Oreochromis niloticus: one gene and its partner. The protein of the gene in region 1 purifies or fractionates together with the protein of each later gene. This does not show direct contact. Links are inferred from orthologs where the notes say so. Each region holds a gene or a part of one and is shown in the gene's direction. Other genes may lie near its edges.

What was found.
Region 2: the proteins of NHP2-like protein 1 (region 1) and nop56 fractionate together in Homo sapiens (co-fractionation; 3 studies listed by BioGRID, with this or other methods). This does not show direct contact. The link is inferred for Oreochromis niloticus from reciprocal best matches to the Homo sapiens genes SNU13 and NOP56.

Annotation. Positions count from the first base shown.
Region 1 is NC_031973.2:20,519,237-20,527,372, forward strand, and holds NHP2-like protein 1, read left to right. Parts: upstream 1-5,423; 5' UTR 5,424-5,651; coding exon 5,652-5,654; intron 5,655-5,833; coding exon 5,834-5,954; intron 5,955-6,429; coding exon 6,430-6,692; 3' UTR 6,693-6,900; downstream 6,901-8,136. Other genes in the region: uqcrc2b (cytochrome b-c1 complex subunit 2, mitochondrial), read right to left, coding at 813-889, 985-1,065, 1,195-1,394, 1,532-1,627, 1,717-1,774, 1,866-1,963, 2,228-2,352, 2,600-2,656 and 4 more; crym (ketimine reductase mu-crystallin), read left to right, coding at 7,994-8,136.
Region 2 is NC_031970.2:28,334,602-28,343,024, forward strand, and holds the start of nop56 (nucleolar protein 56), read left to right. Parts: upstream 1-4,628; 5' UTR 4,629-4,751; coding exon 4,752-4,754; intron 4,755-5,424; coding exon 5,425-5,514; intron 5,515-5,603; coding exon 5,604-5,718; intron 5,719-6,088; coding exon 6,089-6,253; intron 6,254-6,460; coding exon 6,461-6,659; intron 6,660-6,840; exon of another isoform or gene 6,841-6,976; intron 6,977-7,423; coding exon 7,424-7,611; intron 7,612-7,776; exon of another isoform or gene 7,777-7,895; intron 7,896-7,990; coding exon 7,991-8,142; intron 8,143-8,335; coding exon 8,336-8,423. UniProt on the Homo sapiens protein: Involved in the early to middle stages of 60S ribosomal subunit biogenesis. Required for the biogenesis of box C/D snoRNAs such U3, U8 and U14 snoRNAs. Part of the small subunit (SSU) processome, first precursor of the small eukaryotic ribosomal subunit.

The DNA of each region.
Region 1 (8,136 bases):
AGACAGGTGTGAAGAAAGGCCCAAGTGGCAGTGGACCTGCATGCTTCAGTGGGGCCAGTGACAGAGAGGTGAAGCCATCAGTCAGCTATTACGTGCTACCAAAAGCAGACTGTGACACACCCCGAGTCAAATTAAAAGTAATTGCAGGCCACCAGAACCCTTCCACAGACTCATCAAATAGACCCAAGACAGAGACTGTTCCTTAAAGGCTCTAAACATCAGGTGGGTTTGAGCTTTTAGGGAGGGTTGAAAATGCACCATTGCAAATGAAAGGATGCATTTGGTAGTGAACACTTGGAAGCCAAATTCATAACTGAGATTAATGTCCAAATCATTTCCTAGCTCTGGATCAACAATTACGCCACAAAAAAGGCAACAAGTGGCAGCTGTACAAAAAACAGAAATCACAAGCTGTGGGAGAAGCCTGATCTCACTTCCTGAAGGTAGATAAATCATACAATGCCAGTAAAAATGAGATGCTTCTCTCTACTGCAGCGTGTTTAAAGGATTTTTAAAATTACATAACACAATCCGATGCACGTGTAACATCTTTCTTTTATACAGGCCACTGGCCTCTTTCATATTTTTCCTGCCTTGAAAAACTAAAAAAGAAGCTAATTTTAATTACTGTATATACCGATGAATCTATCAGCATTATTTATCACTAGATTTATCTTTCATTAACCTAAACCTGAAAATTTAACATATTTTTATTTAGCGTTTCTATAGCCAAATAGCAGAAAATGTAGATTTTATGTCAGAGGTACATTCTCTCAGGTCTCTCTCATTCCGTTTCTGTCTGTCTGACTCACTTTGCTCGAGTGAGGTCAGCAGCTGTGACTCCACCGTCAGCAACAGCCTTCACCTGGGCAAGAGCAGCCTTGATCACCTGCAGGGAAGAGTGAAACAGTGCTCTCAATAGCAGTTTCATTTGGGGGGAAAAGAAAAAAAAAATTGATTTTCAAGACTAGGGGGCATACTCACATCACCAGCAGCTGCAGCCTGAGAGATGGTGTAGACCCCAAACAGGCCAGAGTCAGAGTAGCTTGTATTGAAAGCAGTGACCTGGTGTGGGAGACAAAGACTGAATTAGAATAAAGCTGGATTGTGTTTTTGTGGTTAATGTGCAGACACACTGCTCTGTAGGCGTATGGCTTATTTACAATTTATCTTACAAAACTGAAAGGCACTCACATCAAAGGGGTCTGCTGTTGCCTTGGAAACACCCTGGACCAGTTTACTGGCGACGCCTGCTCCTCTCTTGACGTGCGGCCCAGCTCCCAGTAAATGCTGCAGCACACTGAAGGCCAGAGCCTCGCTGGTGCCTGCTGCTGCTGACTGGCTCACCACGGCTGAATGGACCAGACTGCTGGTGCTGGGCAGGCGAATCTCACCTGGAAAGAGGCACGAGGTCATGAGACAGGGAAGTCTGCAAGGTCGATCAATTTCTCAGGTTGGAATCATTCATTCAAAATTTGCTTAAATCCTTTATTTTTTCTTTTCCTTCCCCCTCTCAGCCAGCTCGCCTCACCTCCACGATACTGTGCCTTAGCCCCCGTGGTGCCGGCTCCACTGCGGATGTTGAGGAACTGCTCTCCCACTTGCTTCAGCACAGTGTGGTCAACGCCTAGTAGAAAGGTAAGCATTGTTATCGTTTATCAGAAATCTGGCTACTTCTTTCTTTATATGGAAAATACTTTAAACCCTAACACTTACCAAGTCCAACAAGGGCCATTCTTGCACTGGTGAAATTGTTCTGGACAAACTGGTGCAGCTGGAGAAAAATGCAAACATTGCAATAATTCATAATTGTTTTAGTTTGTATGTTTTGTACTCATAATATACAAACAGAAATATATACTCACATGCTCAGAGTGGATGTTGTTGATCATGTGGTCTGGGCAGTACAAGGAGTTACACAGGGCGTTCTTGTAGGCAGCTTCATGCAGACCTTCAACCACACCTAAAAAAGATGGATGGGTGACTGTTAGCTGCAACGCACTCATGGTGAAGAAAAAACAGAGAGAACATTACTGTCCCTATATGACAGTTTGGTATCTAGGCTCTACAGGCTAATTATTGATTAATCGAACAACCCAGAAGCTTTTTAAAATATTAATCAGGCTCAAAGGTGGGAATATGAATTAAGTAGTTCTATAATAAAACAACAGATCCCTTAAAAATCTTTCAAAAAAACTGAGTGTTGTAAGAGAAACAAAGGGCCCACCTATCTGGGCGCTCTGTGCAGCTTGTGCCTTGTCCACCTTTACTTTTGGGGTGAGGTCTGACACCTCCCACGGACGGAATTCGGGGGCTGTTGTCACATTGATCAAATACTCCATCACTGTGTCACTAGAGACCAATAATAGAGGAAGGGGGGGAAAAGAAAGTTATCACTCCTGCAACATCACATCTCAGAGCATTCATATGTTCCAGTGAATGTAGTCATTTCACCAAAATATGGAAAAGTGTGTAAACAGAAAGAGACAAAGTTCTTTAAGTATCTCCTAGTACTTTAAACATTTTCATTACGTTATTATTATTATTGCTCAATCATCAACACACTCATCACACACAAAGGTGACATGCAGAGACTCACACGTCATCTCTTAAGCAGTCGACGGTGTAGGTCATATTCTCTCTGGATGAAGTCACGCTGCACAGGAATACACAGATATGCAAATTAGACACCTAAAAATAATTAAATGACTGTTTACAAGAAAAACCTTTTATTTGTTTTTGGCTAAGTTACTGACCTTAGACTGCCTCCCACTGCCTCAATACCACGGCATATCTTGAAAGCTGAAGCTCCCTTGGTTGTCTGAAAAGGCAGAAAAGTTAAGTAACATGTCGACTGAAATGCGGCAATGTTACACACCGTTACAAAAGTAGTGATCTTAAGCTCCATTTATTAACAACAGTTGTGCAGGCTTTTTAATATGTAAACACTGTTATATTTCTAATCAAAATAAGATTTTTGCCTAAAACTGAATAAAGATTTGGTTTGTATTCTGGTGCATCTGCAGCTTTACTCATTTCTGTCTTTCAACAACACCAAAGGACCAAGGTTGATGAGGACAATGCTTACTTCAAGTTAAATGTTATTATTATTTTTTTTTAAGTTACATACCAGACCGGAGGCCAGCCGGAGGAGGTGGGTGACGCCCTGGTTTTCAGGGGTTTCATAGCGACAGCCAGCCTTGATGAAGACTCCAATTTTGGAGGCTGGAGAATAGTTCTCCAGTGAAGCGATCACCAGCCCGCTGGGCAGCCTGGTCACCTGGAGACATATAGAGATGTCCTTTAGCGTTGTTAGTACCCTGAGTTATAGGCAGTGATTCAGTTAACTGGTTTCCTTGGCTTTTATTTATACAGCTCAGACAATGTGGGCATTTAGTTAGATTACTTAATATTTTATATTCAGCAAGGTGAAAAAAAACAGATAAAGCTTAAAACATAACCAATATATACTACAATTCTCATCACTGCCCGACATACGTGGACATCCTGGTAGGAATGGCCAACTCTGGGAGAGAGGCTGAGGCCAGCCAGGGGCTGAGCAAGGGACTGGTCTTTTCTGGCAGCCGCATAGAAGCGTTTCTGCAGAGAAGAAAAAGAAGTCAATAACCACTGACCTGAACATCCTGTGGATGAAACCCAGTGACCTCCACCTTACGGGCAGCCTGGGCTGCATAAAACCTTGTCTGGGGAAAAGAAAAACAAAGAACACAGGAAGGCAGGACATTACAACTAATGTTTTGCTGGCCTGTTGGCTGATATGAGCACGAACTTTAAAATAATGGGATCAATGGCATTAGTAGGGCAGCCTGTACTAAAAGAACTGAATGTTGTGACTAAATATGAAGCTAGAATTATACAGGTGAAAAAATAATCTTATGACAAGGCCCACTTAAGTCTCTGTTCTGCATTTTGTTTAAGCATATCACCAGGTTTAAATCTGCAGGTCAATTTTTCCAAATTATCTTTGAAAGTATCAAGGATTTGTAAGATTGTAATGTACTCTGAAGTGTAATAACAACCTCTATATGGGTCTTGGTGTCTTCCAACAGAATGATGCCAAACAACATTACTACCCTTTAACGACAAATGTGAAAAAGTAAGAACATCTTTTTAAAACTAGCTACAATCTACCATTTCAGGCTGCCAGGGTTCTCACTCAGTAAACACACATAAGTATTGATGTTTACTGCTAAATCCAAACTGCAATAATTGCACAATATTGCAGATAAGAAAGGGGAAGATATAATTAGATAGTAAAATGGAAATGTAAGTTAAGCAACTCGACGGCTAGGTCCTTCATAAACACGAACCTAGCTAGCTCTCATCGCTCAGACGTCAACTAGTTTGATTTCTCTAAGCCTTACTTGAATTAACGGAATAGACAGTATTAAGCTGGGTGTACAACGACTTAAAATCCGCGGTGTTCGTGATGTAACTAGCAGGTTATTGCTGGTTATGCTCGGAGTCATTCATGACAAGACCTAGCTGACTGCTTCCTCGTCTGCTCCTCATCACAGCCTGCCCGGACACGACCCGGAATTTAGACACCGTCTAACAAACACAGCCCACAACTCGGTGTACAAATGTTCCGACACACAGACACGTAGGACACATTGCCCGAGTCCTCACCGATAGCTGACTGATTCCCCGAATCCCCTTCATCGCCCCTCTTGCCTTGGGTCAGGACGATGAAGCAATATGGCTGGCTTCAAAGTGCCCTACCCAGAATCCTCAGCGCTTTCTTCGCTTGTAAACGGTGCGTCTGCCTAGCCAGTGACCGCGCGCCCTCTGCTGCCCTGGAGATGAGAGAAAATAATAAAATAAAATAAAATAAAATAAAATAAAATAAAATAAAATAAAATAAAATAAAATAAAATATTTTTTCATTGGACCAGACAGAGCCAGCTGGATGGTTTGCACCGAAGTTATGAAATGCACTGATATGAATATTATTATAAATACAAAGAGGTGTATGTAATATCGGTATGTAAATGACAAGGAATGTGTTTAGAGATGGTTTGCACATGCGCACAGGAGGGATAGGGGATGCTGAAATGATGTAAAAGGATGTTGAATATGGAGCTGCCAGGCAGGAGGATAAAATGAAAACCACAGAGGATGTTCATGGATGTAGTGAAGAAGCACACGCGGAGGGTTGCTGTGAAAGAAAAGAATGCTGCCAGGTTAAACTATTTTGGCACAGGGCAGATGTGCTGAACTCTGAAGGGAGCAGGTGAAGGGAAAATAAATAATTTCCGTGTATTTATTTTAAAACGTATTTGTTTTTCAATAAAAAAAAATGTCACCCCTTTCCAGGTCGTCTTTTATTTGGTAAAAAAAATGAAAGTGACTTGTTTCGTTGTATTTTCACATTTATTAACAATTTTTTTCTCCCAAAGCATTTCCTGTGATTTCGCCAGCGTTGCCAGTGCGCATGCGCCTCACACCACACGTGTGGCAAACGTTTGGAGTCGTTGCATGCGACGGAGCTTAGAGAGTTGTACCGCTATAAAATACATCACAGGTTATCGCATCTTGCATCGTGTCGTCAATCTTTCAGAAGCCAGTCGAATTAAAATAGTCCTCCGTGAAGCATTTCGCCGAGAGGGCCGGAATAGCACAAAAACACCATGGTGAGTGTCTTCTCAAACGAACAAGCTAACAGAGTAGCTAGCTAGCTACCATCGAGCATAGTAAATTAAGTGTAGAATTCAGTAGAAGTGACCAGAAACAGTGCTGGTGACTTTTTTTTTTTCGTTAACTGGTTTCTCTTGGCTAACATGGAGTTACTTTGTTTCTGTGTGGTGAACAGACTGAAGCACAAGTGAACCCAAAGGCCTACCCGCTGGCCGACGCCACGCTGACCAAAACTATCCTGGATCTGGTGCAGCAAGCCTCAAACTACAAGCAACTGAGGAAGGGAGCCAACGAAGGTGGGTAAACACAACGTGCCGTGCGACACAGTCGGTGCAAATGAATATTTAATTTGTTAATGAACGGATTTGAGTGGCCAGGTGACACCAGCATGTTTGAAACGTGGTTTCTCTTCACTTAAAACAACTAGCTTTAGTCACAAGCCTCTGATTTCTGCATGAATGGGATGTCTGCGAGAAGGAAAATAACTTTTAGTATTGTTTATACAGATAATTGTTAACTTACACCATAGCTGTGTCTTCCTGTGGAGGCTAATGATTAGTCAATGTCGAGTGTATTTATTATATGAATTACTAAGTGCTTGTGAAAAATGTGTTAAACAGACACTTGTATTTTTGTTTTGGGCCACATCAAGAATAACGGTGCTGCAGTAATGAAGGGCACTTTTTTGTGTAACCTGTAATATGCTGAGCATTGTTTTTGTGTTTCCAAGAACAAACTTGCTGTATTTAAGGTGTTCTCTTTCTTCCCCAGCCACTAAAACCCTGAACAGAGGCATCGCTGAGTTTATCGTGATGGCTGCCGATGCGGAACCACTGGAGATCATCCTCCACCTGCCGCTGCTGTGCGAGGACAAGAATGTCCCCTACGTGTTTGTCCGCTCCAAGCAGGCCTTGGGCCGGGCCTGTGGGGTGTCGCGCCCCGTTATCGCTACCTCAGTCACTATAAAAGAGGGGTCTCAGCTCAAGCCACAGATCCAGTCTGTTCAAATGGCCATTGAGAGACTGCTTGTGTGATTTTTCTTTCACTGACAAAAACTCCTTGAGGGGAAAAAACCGTTTTAAATAGTCCCGTCCTTTGTTTGATTAAACATGAGGGGGAAAAATCATGTTTAATTGTTTTTGTTTTGTTTCTTGCTTTTTGGGGACTGATGTTTCTCATCAGGAGTTTGTAGTAGCCCTGCTCACTTATTAATAAAATAATTCTTTTTGTTATTTCTTAAAACCTGGTCTTGTTTTCATTTTTTCTTTTTTCTTTTTTTTCAAGATGAGTTCAAACAAAGTGATTCCCAAATGGTTAGTAACAGAAAACTGGGCATATCTTTGCATGGTCTGATGTGTGTCAGGCTTAAAAAAAATAGCAAATGAGCACTATCTGAAAATCATGTCCTTGAGAGACCTGATTGATGCATCTATTCTTCACTGAATCCAGGTTACAGAAGGTTACAGAAGCACTGGGCTGGAAATCAGTGGCAAACCGGTCATATTTAGTGATGACTTTGAAATGTTTGGTTCAAACTGTCTTCAGTATGGCAGAAGTCAAGCAGCCTTGAGAACTATTCTCGAAGACTACTTAAAGAAATGACAGGCAAACTATCCTTGAAAGAATAAATGTGGTCATACCAAACACTGACCTAACAAACTGTTTTTGCTGTATATGCTGTAATTCTGTATATGTTTGCATGTGTTTTTGTTTTTTCTGGCTCAAAACCTTTGTACAGTACTGTATAAAACACGTTCTTACACTGATCACTACATCAAAATGTTAATTACAATTTTCTTTTCTTTTTTGTTTGCATCGGGATAAATAATCAGTCGGGAAACAATCTCAAAAGCACGAATGTAAATTGTCAATTAAAAGTAATGAATTCATAATTCCGAATTTCTAAGTAGAGTCATACAAATACTAACAGCTGTGAAAGTCAAAGGACTTCCAAACCTTCTAGGGGCCGTGAAAGCAGCATGTAGCTGGCCCCGTTAGTGGTTATAATCTGAAGACAGGACATTGTTTCACAATCGTTTGCGTAGAAAGTGCAACACTTAAACACTGATTAAGTGGGTATCAACCTGAGATTGGCTTGTTTGAATACTTTCTCCCCTTAAACTGGTGCCAAAGCACAGACTACGGGAACCTGGCGCTTGGAAAGCGCAGTGGATTAGACAGCCTTCTCTGTGCGGCCCGCCTCTCTCCGCGCAATGTGTTTAAAAAAGCTTTACCGCGGCTCTTGAACGCAGCTCAAATCCCGCTCGCTGTTGACTCAAACTTTGTACCAAACCAGTTAAGTCAGTTACGCATCAGCGTCTCAGAAGCAGCAGCCATGGCTGGAGCTCCTCCTGTTATCATATGGGAGCGTGAAGTTGAGAGCCTGTTGCATTACAAAGAGCTGATCCCCCGTCTGGAGGAGGCTTTAGGTAAGTTCTCCAGCCGGGACAGCGTGGAGGTTATCCAGCCTGTGCGCTC
Region 2 (8,423 bases), on another chromosome or scaffold:
TGTCATCACACCTAGATTATTGTAACACCTTATTTACCGGCTTAGATAAACCATCTCTTTCACATCTGCAAGCGAGCTCGCATTACCCAAATTTTATTCTCTTTATGTTGGTGTCCAGTTGAGTCGAGAATTTGTTTTAAAATTCCCATTTCAGCCTGTGGCACTAAAGCTCTTGAAGAGTTTACCACTCCAGCTCTGTTTACCCAACTCTGTGGATTCCTTTAAAAACAGGTAAAAACTTTCTGTTTAATGAGGCCTTTTGTTGACATTCTTTAGTTATTTATGCTTTTATCTATTTTTATTCTGTTTTAATATGCTTCTCTATTCATTTTAATTTTAACTTTTAAATGTTGTACATCCTTTGTGACTTTTGTCACTAAAAGCATTACATAAATAGACTGTACTTACTCTGTTATTTGCTAGAAAAAAAACAACAACAATAACTTAATAGGCCAATTCTTTATTTGCTACTGTCAAGAGATGTACTCTAAGACACTTCTTCAGCTGAGAATCAGAGAGGAGAAACACAAAGTTTTACTTGCATGCAAGGGCAGCCAAAGAGCACTCACACTTGGAGTGAGGGCTCCGAGACTCGCGCTCTGCCACTGCCCTGGTCTTTATTTATACACAAGAAGAGTAATACGTTTGTTCAGTGGAATGTTGATGCATGAGCATGTGCGGATATGTGTGTGTCTGTGTGTGCGCGCGTGTGTGTGTGCGTATGCGTGTGCCAGGAGAGGCTCCTCTACCTGGTACAAAGTGAAACTGCTTATTAAGCTCTTATCTAGCAGGTACTGCTCCTTCCCTGCATGATAACGGGTCACAGTGAATCAAAACAGTCTGAGTTATAAAGAGGTCATCATGCAGTATTCTATCATATGCAAACTTATATTATTAAAAGATTATACTGACTACAATTTTCTATTGACAGCTACATTACAAAATCGAATCTGTAGGCAATATCCCACAATATTATCAATTATTTCACAGAACCTTTTGGTTTTTCAGGAACAACAGTAATCAGTTTACCAGTATGTAAAAGGAACTAATCCTAACCTTCAGAAAAGTTTGGGATCAAACACCAATGAGCTAAACGGCTGATTCATGACTGAAAATCGTGACTGATTTTGTGGTCTGGACTGACCAATTCATTAAGCTCTAGTTTAGCCCTAGTTGTACACACAAGCTGCTTACCTTCATCAGCATCAACTCTTTTGGGCTAAAGAACGTGATGTGTCCCTCCGTCCTCTGAACCAGCAGCGCCATCAGGCACACCAGCACCACGCAACCAGCCACTGCTCCACGCATGCTCATTTTGCTCTGTCCCCTAGAAACATACACATTGGTACATACAGAGCAGAAAGTTCACACACAATACAGTCTGAAGGTGGCCAAGCGACTCTATTTTGCAGTGGTCGACATCTGGCATGACATGCAGCATGTAACCGAGAGCGGACAAAGAAACACAAGGAATCTCGTGCTTATGTAATACAGAGTTTGGGAAATACATTAGAGATGGGGGGGGGGGCAGAACAACAAACTCCTCCAGAGGCAAGATAGATAAGAGGTTGGAACCATATTTACAACCAGCAAGACAGGTCTGTGCACAAATGTGAGTAGATGAAAACAGAACATCAAAGAGAAAGAGAAATGAGAAAGACCTAGAGGCAGAGAGAGACAGAAGCACAAGAAGCCATGAGTTACTCACATGCTGTGTCAGCGTTGGTTAGTTGCTTGAGGAAGTGTGCTTTAAAATGAGCAGAGCTCCAGTGGTCTGAGTGTCAGCTTGTTGCTGTCAGCCTTTATATCAAGCCCTCTCCTGATCCCTAAGCTTTTTACTGTCCTCCCTCACATCCGCTCCTCAACAAGCTCCTTCAAGCATAGTCCTGGAAACACAAATATTACTCAGGAACGGCTGGCTCATTTTTTTATTTTTTTATTAGGTTAGTATACTCACCTAATCTTCACTGGTACGTATAAATTATAAGATGAATGTATACTGTGCAGTTTTAAAAAAAATCAAAGCAGTCATTTCCTCATTTATTTTTACTCACTTTAGGAAGTAGAATTAACTCATGTATTCATAACACATCCTACAAAAGACAAACTGCAAACTGAAAAGTAAAGTTCAATTTTTACGTGACTTTCGTTTGGGTCACTGAGTTAAATATAGAAGCGGGGGAAAAACAATTACGACAGTCTTTTCAAAGAAGTCAGTCATATATCCTCGGCTCCAAGTAATTATCTAACACATTCTGACATTTATGACCTGCTACTAATTTGTGTTCGCGCACATACAGACCCACATGCATCTGTGCCTTGGAAACCTCATGACTTATTTCCTGCACGGTGGCGAAATGTTACTGCAATTTATTTTTATTTTGTTGTCAGAATACTCAGCAAGAGTGTTTAATTACAAGCATTGCTATTGTTCTGTGTGGTTTATTACATTTTAGGTGCATAGATGGAGCTCTGTATGTCTTCTCTAGCACTTTATATTACACAAGCACTATGACACACAGGTGACTGCTACATTTTTCTAACACCTAGAGTATGTATTTTAAAGTAACATTTAGGGATTTAGAGGCTTCAGGATAAATTATGGAAATTGTATAACCTTTATATTATAATACTAGTAAAGAATATGTATAAACAGTTTAAAATAAACCATGCTGTATATATTCAAATCTACATTTTAAACTTTGGCATACAGAATCAAACACCACAGCAAATGTTTCAAGACATCAATCACTGGGTACTGAATTTGGGATTTTCCCTTTAAAGGGGGAAAATCTCACTTCCAATGCCATGTTTTTACTCTTGGACTCTTGGAGTCACAATTAAAAAATAATCTTTATTCATCTTCTGAAACACATCATTTTACAGCCTTTCTTCAAGCCAGCTTTGCTGTCTGTGAATTCAGACTGAGCCCAAGGGCGCCTCCAGAATTTTTTCATAGGGTTAGCCATGTGGGGGCCACTAAAAATGTTGGGGTGTCACCTCAAAAACAGAATTTTCTAGTTTTATTATGCTGTTGTCAAATATAGGTTACTTGAAAATTATGGCAAAAAAGAGAGAAAGAAAATAATTAACCCAGTTAATTTCCTGCCATTAAAGTTGATATCATTGAAAATACGTACATATGAAACCCATTTTGAAATCCACAATAATTTGTTTTGATTGACTGATTGATCGATTGATTCCAACCTTCACTAATGATTCTCAGCAGAGCTGAGCAGAAGCTGTGGGGGGCCAGCAAATTCAGGGGATGCATTGCAATAACTTTTTTGGAATTACAGTCATTGTTATCTAAAGTCCCCCATTTTCAAAGGATCAAAGGTAACTGGACAGTCCTCTAACAAGCAATTTTCTGCTCCCTTGTTTCATGACAAATAAAGCAGCTGGAAACATTTGGTGTTAATTCAAGTGCTTTTGACAGTTAATCTCAATAAGAGGTCCAAAGAAATGTTGATGCAATTGAAGGAGTTAAAAAAAAACATTCACAAAAACACTTGACTTGGTTAGATGCGGTAACCATGTCATTGTAACAAGTCTATGATCAAGAGAGGTGTTCATGGATGAAAATAACGTGCAAACCACTAGGTACACTCAAGAGCAATGCCATAAAACATATAAAGAACCTGCAAAGTTGAGTAAGTGTTGTAAATGTTGACTAATTAATAAATAAATAAATACCACAATGACAAGAAGAGAAAAATATGGAGAGAAATAGCTAATGATGATTAAAGACGTAATTCTGAAGTGCACAGGCTGGTATTCTGTTCATATTCAGCCAAATACTGCAAAACTGATTAGTCAGCACTTCACAGTGCAAATGTATAATGACCCGAGCGATAATGCAAAAGCAACCAGCGAGCGAGCCATGGCAATGAAATGGGATATTCTTCAATTGCCTATTTATCTGATCCCAACCTAATATAGCATTTTGTTTAGTAATTAAACACAAACCTCAATCCAGAAAGACCCACATACAAGCATCAACCAAAGTGGCAACAGTGCCAGCATAACAGAGCATCTCAAGGAAGAAAAAAGCATGTGGTGATATTTATGGTTTACAGACTTCAGGATAGGATTTTCCTTCAATTAAAAATAAATCATTCTTATTTAAAATAATCCTACTTTGTGCAGTTAGTTTTTAATCTGGGTGGACACTGTATACAAATTACTTTAACTCCTAAACAGTTAATGTAATGCTTTTGTTAAGCGCCTCTAATTAAAACTGAACGCCTGGACTTCAAAATCGCATATTAAGTGTAAGACTTGGAATCCACTGTGGTAGTCTGCAGATGTGGTAGTCTGTATTTTTTTTTAAACTGCAGTCCCTGGCTATAGATATTTAAAACATTTCTCTACCAACAAATACACGTGGCCCAAACACTTTATTGTTTTCGTCTGTTTTGCCCCCTCCGACCTTTTCTCAGTGTGTGAACTGTAAATACACTGCTTCAGAAAAAAAAAACAAAAAATATTTTGGGACGCGTTTACCCACAGTTAGATGAGAACATATATAAGAGCACGAACCTTATATTTTAATATTTGTTTCTTCAGCATAGGAAATTGGGGAAAGGACGCATATTGAAGCTTTCTCGGTCGGGTCTCGCGATGTCAGAGCTGCTACCGCGGGATTTGGGGCGGTGCTGCTGTTTGCTGAAACGCGTGGACGCAGTCTTTTTGCTGAGGTGAAGCAGCACAGCAGACACGAATTGCGTGCTGCCGCAGATTTTCCAATCATGGTAAGCTGAGCGGGGTTGGATATGTTGGCATGACTGCAAATTGTTCGTTAAACTTTACACTTTAAGTTTTTTTGCAGTTAGTTGCGTTTTAAGAGTATAAATGTCTAGTTAGATTTAGTTCACTTCTGTCGAGCTAAAGGCCCTCCGACATTTGGGGAGCAGTTCCGCTAGTGCTGACATTAGCGGGAAAATATATATTTTACTTTAAAGGCTTAAAGTGACAAATGATGTGTCCAGCTGTGTTAGTCGCAGTCGTGCCAGAAGCACTGATATTGACAGTGCTGTAGCAGGTATTGTACTTTTCTAGGGGCCGTGTTAGCACAAGCTAGCTCTTAGCAAGCACGTTATACGCAGGCCTAGGTCGACACGTGGGTTCATCGAGACTGCAACGTGGTTACGTGTGAAAGTTACGACAAAGCAGTGGTAGCTAAACCTGAAGTGGGAAAACACTTTTGAAAAAGCTACTGCACATTTATGCCTAAAATTGCAATCTTATTTTAGGAATTAATCGAAAGTGAAGTTAGCTCGTGTCTCGCTGGTCAGCACGTGGGGACTAGTAAACACTTGATCTGAACGTAGTTTTAGAAACACCTTTCAGTTTCTGCTGGCTGCAAGTGTTACCTGTTTACGTCTGTCGTCTAACTCGATCGTGCACGTTCACCTTCCCTAGGTGTTGCTGCACGTGTTGTTCGAGCACGCGGCGGGCTATGCGCTGTTCGCCGTCAAAGAAGTGGAGGAGATCGGCATGCTGCTGCCCCAGGTGCGTCCTCTTCCCTAACTCCTGTGTACTATCTGTTTTGTGTGCTCTTTAAGCAGAGCACTGATAATTGTGCTTTTGTGTCGTGTCAGGTGGAGGCGAGCGTGCTGAGCCTCGGAAAGTTTAACAGCATGGTGAGCTTAGCCGCCTTCTTCCCCTTCAAGTCGGCCCAGGCCGCCCTGGAGAACATGAACGCCATCTCTGAAGGTATGTATGATTATCATTTTTCTCTTTATCAATCTTGTGTGGAAAAGTCCTCAGCTGTAATGATGTTTTATAATCTGTCAATCCACTGAGTTCTTGTGCTGACAGTTTCATATCAACCCTGAACACCTGAGGAAAGACTTTACATGGACAGCCGAAATTGTAGATTTTGATTTGTTCTTTTATCTGTAATAATTGTTAATGAGACTACTTTAATTATGTTCAATTTGTTCTGAGATGGCAAGATTGCATGATGGCAAATTATCGGGCTTTAATATGATAATATCACAATAGTCAGTGTCGTATCTTTTAGATGCCTTTCCATCTCAACCACGTGTCTACAGATGTAATTACATTCTTCCATCCCTTGAAGGTATGGTTCATGCTGACCTGAAGCTGTTCCTAGAGACCAATCTGCCCCAGTCTGGGAAGAAAAAATCAGTGTTGGGGGTTTCTGATGCCAAGATTGGAGCAGCGTTACAAGAAGAACTTAGCAGTTCAATCCAAACTGGAGGGGTGGTGGCTGAGATCACACGAGGTGAGAATGTTTACCTGAGAGTTATTACAAAATATGCAAAACGATACTGTGTCTATATAATAATGTGGACTGTTGTGATGTGAACTTGTGATCCTGAAACTCATGAAGGTTCATACTGAAAATCTGAACAGCCGTTGGATCTGCACTTTTCTGTTCGTGTTCTTCTTAACACTCAGCAAACCTTCTCAATCTGTCCTGTCCCGTCAGGTTTGCGTCTGCACTTCCACTCTCTGGTGAAAGGTCTGACTGCCCTGGCTGCCTCCAAGGCACAGTTGGGTCTTGGCCACAGCTACTCCAGAGCTAAAGTCAAGTTTAATGTCAACAGGGTAGATAACATGATCATCCAGTCCATTGCTCTGTTGGATCAGCTGGACAAAGACATCAACACCTTCTCCATGCGTGTCCGGTAGGAAATTTTCATCACACAGTAAAAGGACTGGTTTTTGCATAAAATTAAACAGTTTAGGGAACATGTTAACCTTTCATGCTGTTCATCTTTTACTCTTTTAATCTCTTCTCTAGTTTTATGGCTTTTCTGGTGACAGATTTGCATCAGGCTTTTTGTAGTTCAGGGTACATTTTGGGGCATCCTCCTAATGCTTACCACAGACAGCACACCTCAGAGTGCTGACTGTATAGAAACAGGAGGTAGATCAGTTACTCCCAACACTTCTGCTCTGCCAGCTGCTATCTGGTGAGGCAACACTGTTGGGTGGAACATCATGTATATTTACTAGCTCAGCATCTTGTAGCTGTTTGGGGTGTCGTGGCGCATGCATTCATTTTGGTGTGAAGTGTCCTGGTGCAAACTGTCAGAGTGCAAGATCATCTAGAACATTTAGGCATCAGTTATTGTCAGCTGTAGCATTCAAGTCTTAAAAGCTCCAGGCTTGTCCTACCGATACAGGACTCTGTGAATAGAATTGGATATCTTGAGAGAAAGAGAAGCTGTAATTTTGAAAGTGATATTTTTCAGCAGTCTTGAACTTAATTAAAAATTGTGCCATCTTAATGGGTAGTTCTGTTTTGTGCTTGAGCATAAAAGCCTCGGTTATTGGGTTTGTTTTATAATAGTTGTTTTTTTTGTTTTTTTTGTAAATGTGCAGCCTTTAAATGCTTACTCCAAAAACCCTGCACTCAAAGTTTTAACAACCTCTTGTTTATCTACAGTGAATGGTATGGCTACCACTTTCCGGAGCTCATCAAAATTGTGTCCGACAACTCGATGTACTGCCGCCTGGCTCAGCTCATTGGAAACAGGAAGGAGTTGTCAGAGGAGAGCCTAGAAAGTTTAGAGGAGGTGGTGATGGACAGTGCCAAGGCTCAGGCCATCCTGGATGCATCACGCTCCTCTATGGGTGAGTACACCGGACATTCAGAGTATGTGCTGCATAATTTCACAAAAACACATCCTGCTTGGGTCAAAGATAATTTCATCCACTTCATGCCATATTTTGAATCTGGTTCATTCACATACTCTACGCTTCGAGACTTAAGTCCCAACTCCACATTGTGCCCCTTTTTTGCCCACTCTGGACTACAAGTGTCCTTGGTGTCTAACACAGGGGGGTAGAGTAGTTCTCTCATAAACCTGTAGTGAAGGCATGCATCCTCACTGCGGATCCTGTCGGGAGAAACAATCTCACATTTCATGCCATGTACTGGTTTAAAATGTCACAAATGCAGCACCTGCTAAAGATACAATGCTGATCCATCCTCTGGTTGTTTGGTCTTCAGGTATGGATATATCTCCCATTGACCTGATTAACATCGAGAGGTTTTCGAGTCGTGTCGTGTCTCTGGCTGCCTACCGGCTGGAGCTGCAGGAGTATCTGCGCTCTAAGATGAGCCAAGTGGCTCCAAACCTGGCAGCCTTGATTGGAGAAGTGGTGAGTCTTAGTTTTATTTTAAGTTTTATTTTTAACCCGGACCAATGATGTTCTACCAAAATCTGTCAATCCACTGAGCCAGTTTGATGAAAAATGTATTCGGTGCTGATGGTCCTCATACTGTGTTGTGCATCCAGTGTCAAAATTGTGGTTTTTTGCTTAAAGGGGCCATAACAGATTTTCTTATCTCCAGGTTGGAGCGCGTCTGATCTCCCACGCCGGCAGTCTGACCAACCTTGCCAAGTATCCAGCATCCACGGTTCAGATCTTGGGAGCAGAGA